2 linked regions of the Caenorhabditis elegans genome follow. The protein of the gene in region 1 interacts with the protein of each later gene in a pairwise test. Each region holds a gene or a part of one and is shown on either strand. Other genes may lie near its edges. The genes, in order: rhgf-1 and gei-4.

The links.
Region 2: the proteins of rhgf-1 (region 1) and gei-4 interact in a two-hybrid assay, tested with the Caenorhabditis elegans proteins (one large-scale study listed by BioGRID).

What each region holds. Positions count from the first base shown.
Region 1 is NC_003284.9:10,709,990-10,713,912, reverse strand, and holds the start of rhgf-1 (Guanine nucleotide exchange factor), read left to right. Parts: upstream 1-2,043; 5' UTR 2,044-2,054; coding exon 2,055-2,178; intron 2,179-2,497; exon of another isoform or gene 2,498-2,624; intron 2,625-3,923.
Region 2 is NC_003281.10:346,570-350,492, reverse strand, and holds the start of gei-4 (BZIP domain-containing protein), read left to right. Parts: upstream 1-2,065; 5' UTR 2,066-2,092; coding exon 2,093-2,275; intron 2,276-2,328; coding exon 2,329-2,448; intron 2,449-2,583; coding exon 2,584-2,652; coding exon of another isoform or gene 2,653-2,805; intron 2,806-3,055; coding exon 3,056-3,454; intron 3,455-3,609; coding exon of another isoform or gene 3,610-3,624; coding exon 3,625-3,725; intron 3,726-3,923.

The sequences.
Region 1 (3,923 bases):
TTAAACATGCTGTCATGCTTTATTTTGTTTAAACCAAATGTGATATAAAACAAGAAGAAGGCACATGATGCTCAAAGTTTTCACATTTTTCAATGTTCAGCCTTGAACTAAGCAACTGTTCAAGCCGAAACAAATGTTGTTTATTGTTGCCAAATCTGTGAGTAATCTGAAACCAAAACTGAAGAAAACTGCATCGAAAGATCGATGTGGTGGGACGGAGGCAAATGCCAAAAGTATTTACTCATCATCTTCGTTCTCCATAAAGATATATTCAAAATTCGAAGAGTGTGTAAAAGCGTGTATTCGATATCTGAATCTGAAACCCGAGACGTAGCGGTGAGCACAGACACCAACGGCATCGTCCAGTTCATGAGGATGCCGAGGATAAGCCTCATGCTCTTGTCCCCAAAACGTCAAATGGCGATACGTATTGAGATATGCATCTTGGCAATCTATTAAGAATGCCGCCGCCGGCACAGTTTAGCCGGAGTGCGTTGAGAAATCAGTTTTCTAACAAGTAGATTTGCTTTTTGCTCCCTTCCTTTTTCTTCACTTGTCCGGGAGGACCTACCACCATCGTTATTCCCAACGGCAATTTTAGGCGTGTGAACTTTCTGCTTCTCATCGTACAACCTCTTTAATGTTTTCTTTCCATCTGATGTATCTTGAACGATTCTTGAGAGACACTTTCCCAGGATGGTGCCGGTGGTGAGCAGTAGGACTTCACTGCCAGTAAATTTTTTTGTTGCTTTTTTCTTGGAATCAAGAAGAATTTTAATTATTTATTTATACGGGCCTCTCTTCAAACACTGGATAACTTTTGAAATGTTGCATATCTTGAAAATGCTTCTTAGAAATTATATCAATTTTGTAATATCCAGTTTTCGAATCTGTTTGAAATATATTTATTATTTGAAATTCATTGGTCATATTTTAAAGTTAGCCAGCCTTTCATGAACTTGCCATTTTTTCTTTACAACTGCAGTTTTATATTCGCCGCTCTAAAAAAAACATCTCCAAACATTGAGAACATGTGAATTTTGTTTCCTTTTTCGCCTTTCATGTTTCTCTTTTGAAAATTCTTCAGTGAACATGTTATTTTTCAGTTTATCTTGACAGAAGCTGATGTTTTAGGAATATTTAGTTTTTTTAGAAGAAATTCCTGTGTGATTAATAGAATGACGTCAGCAAAGTAATGGTGGGAATTTCGCGAGCCCACCTTGAAGACCACCCGCGTTTTTTTAAAATTAATCACTTGTTTTCGAATTATTTGAAGTTTCATGGAAACTATCCAAGACATTCAGTTATGAAGTTAGTCAGTTATTCAGTTAATGAAGATTTTCCAATTTTTAATTTCAAGATTGGCTAGTTGTTATTTAATTCAGTGTGATAGTTTTGATTTTGATGCACGTTTGACTTCAAAGTAACTGTCATAAAATCCTGGCATTTTATTACTAACCATTTTGCTAGGTTTCATTTTATATGTATACCGATGGTTTTGAAAATTCATGTTCATACCTTTTTATTATTCTTTGAATGACCAGACGAAGAAGAACAATGTATTCTGAGTTCGTTCATTTGATTTCCACTCCCACTCGACGAGCAGGTTAACTTTTTGTCCTCTGTGAGCGTGTTGGAACAATTTTTCAACTTTCATCTTCGCATATTTTGCTCAACGATTTGCCGTGGAATTTTTAGCGTTTTGTCACTTCTAACTCCACATATAAGTTTGTTTTGAGACTAAACCAGAATACACCAACAAAAATCCATGCCTTCTTGAAGCTTTTCGTCCCCCCCCCCCCTCCTTCAGCAATAGTTTTTGGTTCTGTCTATTGACAGCGTCACTTTGTCATATATAAACATTCGTTCCGCAATCAGCGCACCAAGCACTCTTCCTCTCTTCTTCCGCACACTTGCTGCGTGTGTGGGCTCGATTTCTTAAGGAGGAGAGAATTTATTCGTCCATTCACTCACATTCTGTGTCTCCGTGATTCCGTTGGCATTTATAGTTCTTCTCAGTTTGCCATTATTGATACTTTTTACAGAAACTGTATATGCGATCGTACGAGTTTGTAACCAATACACCACTCAAACTTGATCGGCACAAAGTATACCTCGTCGACGATGTGGCTGTCACAAGGACTGTACCCTTATCGCAGCCATTATCCCCATCAACCGGTGAGCCATTTTTGCACTTTTACAATTACCTTGTCCTTCGAATTGGGTAAAAGGGTTGAACTTTAAACTTCATCATAACTCGAAATACTGTTGGTTTCAATTCGTTCCATAATTTTAGACCTATGAGTTTTGTTTTTCGTTTTATTCGGAACGCAAGAAAACAAAGTATTCGTTAGAATACACACAAAGGTAAGTTCTTTTCTTAAACACTGAAAACGTTGATTTTAGTGTTCAAAGTGCATAACTTTGTAGTTCCATCAAAAATTATTTTGCTTAAAAGCAGTGTTTCGTTGTAGCCTATCTAGCTCACTTGCTCTTTTCAACCTCTTCAACAGCATTCAAGATTGAAATCTCAACGGGATATATTGTGTGTATATGTCTTCTTCCCTTTTCCCACTCATCCCATGTTAAATTTGGCAGAAAGTTATCCCCTTCTCCTGTTATATTCCCAAGAGTCGTGTTGCTCTTGTGTTCTCAATAGGCGTTGTTGTGACAATTTTGGCGGGGTGCCTTTTGCAATAGCAACAGAGCATCAGTTTACTGGGTTTTCTGAGAATAAAGAAAAAGATGAAACGGAGGAAGAGGATCAAATCTGTTGTGGAAATTGTTTAGTCAACTTCTTTGTTGATTGCTGATTCATTTGAATAGAAAACTGAGTGATATTTAAAAACTTTTCTGAATACTTTAAGAGAGATGGGATTGACAGAATGATTTTCTTACAAAACAAGATTAAAATCGTTAGCCTTGAAGTGGATTAAATGCAACTTGAGTGCCAATTGAAAAAAAATCCGCAAACTTCCCATTGAAGAATATATTCACAGTTGTTGTTTAAATCTTGTCCTATCGTTACGTTTAACACATTAATTTTACAAGAAACTTTGATCTGAAGTCGGCAGGGGATGTCAACATTTGCAGTTTGAAAAATTTAATTATTAAATTATTAAAAAATCTGAAGAAAACCACGAGCTTTTGGTAATATTCTTCGCATTCTCCATACATTCTATGAAAAGTTGTTGAAAATAGTAATAACTAATTTCCAGTTCATGAAAGTGATCAACTATTCAGTCTTGTAGTTTATGTTTCATTGAATTTTTGCTTGTTGTCGTTCTTGCGCCACACTTAAAAAATTAACCTTCGAATACGCGCAAAACCTTACTACATGTTATTTGAACATTGGCTTCAGAGAATCTGCTTGTTGTCGTGTTACCGGCATACTTTCAGATAAAACTTTTTTGAATTCTGCGCTGAATCCAGTTTGAGAAATTTCCTTTTTGCACATTTGCTAACATTATTTATTTTTGAAAAAAAAATGAATTGCCGCCAAAAACTATGGTCCCACTTGCACTTCTGCTTAGACATCAGGATCATAAATTACAAATTAAAGTTTTATTCCATAATAATACACAAAACCTAGCAGTTGAAGTTCATTTTGATTTTTGGTGGTTTTTGTTAAACTAAAGTTTGAATATGCTTTTCAAAACATGGGTCTTATCTTTTTTCAAACACCTCAAATCTGATCGAACACTCTTCAACTTTTTATAGCTCTGACTTCCAAAAGAACATTCTGAAAAACAATTCAAAATTCACACAAGTCCCTTTTGCGCGAACTAAGGTTTCATGTGACTATAAATAATGTTCCGTGCAGGAAAAAAATTAATTGAATTGCAAATTCAATTTCCTTGTTTTACATTAGTATATCTATCACTCGATTATAGAGTGGCAGCACATTTTTCAAAATGAGGCAG
Region 2 (3,923 bases), on another chromosome or scaffold:
AGCCCAATTAGAGGTCTGATAGAGGTCTAATTTCATGGCATCTGAATACGGTAGAAGCCTAGGCAAAATTCTCAGTGTTCAGAATTTCCAGAAGTTCCTAGTGCCTCAAGGATAGCCTGAGCTCCATTCTAGTCTGATTCCACATGGTATATCCAGGACTACTGGAGAGCCCCAACAACTTTCAAGCTTTTCTAAGGCCTGGGTTCTCTATTTTAACAGACCCAAGAGGCCTGATATCATAGCCTCTGAATACGGTAGAAGCCAAGTTCTGCTCCTCTTCCTCTCCTTATACTATCTCCTGTGCTTCTTCTCCTTCTTCTTTCCTCACTGAGAGTGCCTGAGAGTTATTGTCGGCCGTCATTCGCCTCTCTTGTTTTCGAGTCTGCCGCACCCTCCGATCCATCTCTCCCCATCTTTCTCTCCGCATCACGTTACCCATTCATTCGGCACTCCTCCACGCACTCTCCACAATCGATACGCTGTCGTCACGGCCTCTAAGCACACACACTCCACGACGGGCGCGCTCTCTCGTGCCGGGTGTCTCGTGATCTCCGCCACTCGGCACAGTGTCTAGTGATGTTTGGACTCTCCGCAGCGCGCATTGTGTATGCGAGTGTGCAACGCGTCTCCGCGTCGCGGTCGGCCTCCCCTCGTACACAATGCCCCGCCCGTCTCCAATCTCTCCTCCCTCTCGTCCTATGCGCCCCAAATCGTCCTCTTCTTTTGTGTATATGTTTCGTTTTCTCTTAGTCTTCTTCCTCTTCTACTACTACTACTTTTTGCCCCCCGTCTTGTTCCCTTCATCTCCCTACACTTCTTCTTCTTCTTACCATCCCCAACCGCATCCATCCGCCATCACACACTCTTTTCCGCTGATTTTGGGAGCGCAGAGACAGAAGGCAGGCAGGCAACAAAATAGTGTGGTTAACAGTGATGATGGGAAGAGCATGGGCGGTTTAGGCGCGAAGAGGACAAATTTGAATTCTAAAAATCGACTTGAAACGGAGAGGTACAGGTTGGATTTGATGCCTTGGCCGTGAAATGGGAAAATTCGGAGGGATTTTCAGAGAACCCACAGCGATAGGAATTGGAAGACGGTATTAGAACCATTACATTAGGCTTTAGGCTCAGGTACTTGGATACGGGGCCCTCGTGGTGTCAGGCTGTCCTACTATGGTTTGATCTACAAAAAAATGCGGAAATTTTTGGCCCATAAAAATGTGACGTCAGCAAGTTCTTAACCATGCAAAATCAGTTGAGAACTCTGCGCCTCAACTCCGGCATTTTTTGTAGATCTACGCAGATCAAACCGAAATGAGACACTCTGAGACTTTTTCGTGGGGACCGCGGATATAAAAGGTCGGCCACCAAAATTCATTGCTCTTCTAGAATGCTAACTCTGCCTCTGGAACCCAAAATACCTCTGGATTTGCTGAAACTAGCTTAAAAGTGGATCAGCAGGACCTTTTCCGCAGGATTTAGAGGGACTGACCGAGTTTTCTCTTTCACGGCCACCATGTTCAAGCAGTGCACCTGGGCACCTGTGCACACAGCTCCAACACGAAAAGAAACTAAGATTTTTGCATTTTCAGTAAAATTCAGAAAATTCCACGTGGATCAGTGAAAATTTGGCGCAATTCCGTCGAAATTAGTACATGCTGGGACTATAATAAGAATTTTTTAAGCTTTTGCAGTGAGATACGTTGTTTTCAATTTTATTTTTCAATTTTTCAATCAAAATTCATGTATTCTTCTTTTGTTCCAGTCATTTTAAGCAGTGTTTTCATTATTCTAGTCTTATGAAATTCGAAAAATTGAGAAGGAGGCAAGTGCGCTCCAGTGACACTCCGGCAAATTTGAATTCGAAACTTATCTGCTTCTCTATTTTTCTCACTTTCTCCATTTAATTTCTTATTTTTCTTTGGTTTTCCTGGTTTTCCTTGGTTTTTCTTCAAAAAATTAATTTTTCAAGTGATTAAAATTGTTTCCAGCACAATTATATCCTTATTAAATCGCAATTCTCATCGGAAACTAGCTTAAAAACCTAAAATTCCAATTTTTTCAGGCTCGGAAACACAAAAAATAATAAAAAATGCAGCAGAATATACAATACACATACAGTTCGGATCCCCGCTCGGGCGGTAATCAAAATCAGCAGCTACACGGAATATCGCAATTTCAACAGAACTCCTATCAGCCGACGACGTATTCAAATTCAAATGCGAACAATTTTCATTCCTCTAATTCCGCAACTTTTATACCTAATTCAGTGACGGTAGGGGATTTTCAGGAAATCGAGTGAAAATGTTCAATTTTATTTAATTTCAGCAAACACCTCAGCGGCGGATGGGAGAAGAGAAGAGTTTAGTTAATATGCTTGACGCTTATTTTATCGACAGTACGACACCTTCAACATCAACGTCGTGGAATAATCAGCAGCCAGTTCAGGTAAAAATCGTAAAAATCGTGCGATTTGGCTTAAAAAAATGGCGGAAATCTCGAAAAATCTCGATTTTCCTCATTTTTTACCGTAAATTCTATCGTAATTGTGGTTGTGTTTGTGAATCGTGATTTATTTTATAGATGTCTTCAATACAACAATCAGTTGGATCATACAATCAACAAATACCTCAGTTGAAAGTAGGAGATGTGGTAAATTCGTTGTTTTTTCTTTGTTTTTTTTTGGGGAGAATTTCGTGTTATTCAGTGATTTTTTCAAGGAATTTTGAATTTTGCAGCTCGAAATCCGCGTGGATTTTCGCATTTGAGCGGATTTTTCAAAAAATTTGCTCAAAAAGTCGATAAGTTACTGGAACTTGCTTAGTTTTGCAACTATGGTCTGCTAAATAATTAGCAGACCAAAGGTGGGTATGCTAAATATTTAGCAGGCCCAAGTTGGGTATGCTAAATATTTAGCAGACCCAAGATGCGAAATCGAGCAGAATTTGTCCATTTCTCGAGTTTTAATGCGAATTTTAAGTTTCAACACACTGAAAACACGAATTGAATGAAATCACGCAGCGAACTCACCGAGCACACCTCAGAAACATTTCAGGACCTACAAGTAGAAGGAATGAATGTTAAACTCTCCTCGTCACCCGACAAAGGCGAGAAGGATCGAGTAAAGAAGGCGCGACAGGCAGAAGCCGCCCGAATGCGTTATCACCGACTATCAAACGAAGAGAAACGAGAGTTAAACCTGAAAAGAACGTTGGCGCAGAAGCGAAAACGGCAACGTGAGAAGGAGATGGAGGAGCTCGAATCGATTTTGCGGGAGACAAATGACATTCAAGAGGATCCGGACATCACCGAACAGCTCAGAGAGAAGAGAATGCGGGCCAAGTGGGCAGAGGCCGCCCGTACACGTTACGCTAGAATGACGCCGGAAGAGCGCCGGGCGCACAATACGCGGAGACGTATGCGGCAGATGCAGAACGCGATGAGCGCGATTAAGGTGAATATAGAACATTGAATTCTAGCAGAAAATCTGGAAAATTAGCGGAGAAGAGGAAAATTTAATTGGGTGAAAATCTATTTTTGGTAAAATCTCTCCTCCCTAACACACAAAATTTGTAATTTTTCCGCTGCTACCGTGACGTAACATTCCAGAAATCGGAGTTTCAGGCATGTGGAATGGCTACAGGAGATCCACAGAAGGACGACGAGGCTGTCCGGTTGCACATCAAGACGCAGAATGCGAAAAAAGCGGAGGCGGCTCGTCAACGGTAAGGAAGAGATTCGGGGGAATCAGAATAGCTTGGGTCTGCTAAATATTTACCATACCAAACTTGGGTCTGCTAAATATTCAGAATGGGTCTGCTAAATATTTAGCATACCCAACTTTGGTCTGCTAAATATTTATTTGGGTCTGCTAAATATTTAGCATACCCATCTTTGGTCTGCTAAATATTTAGCAGACCCAA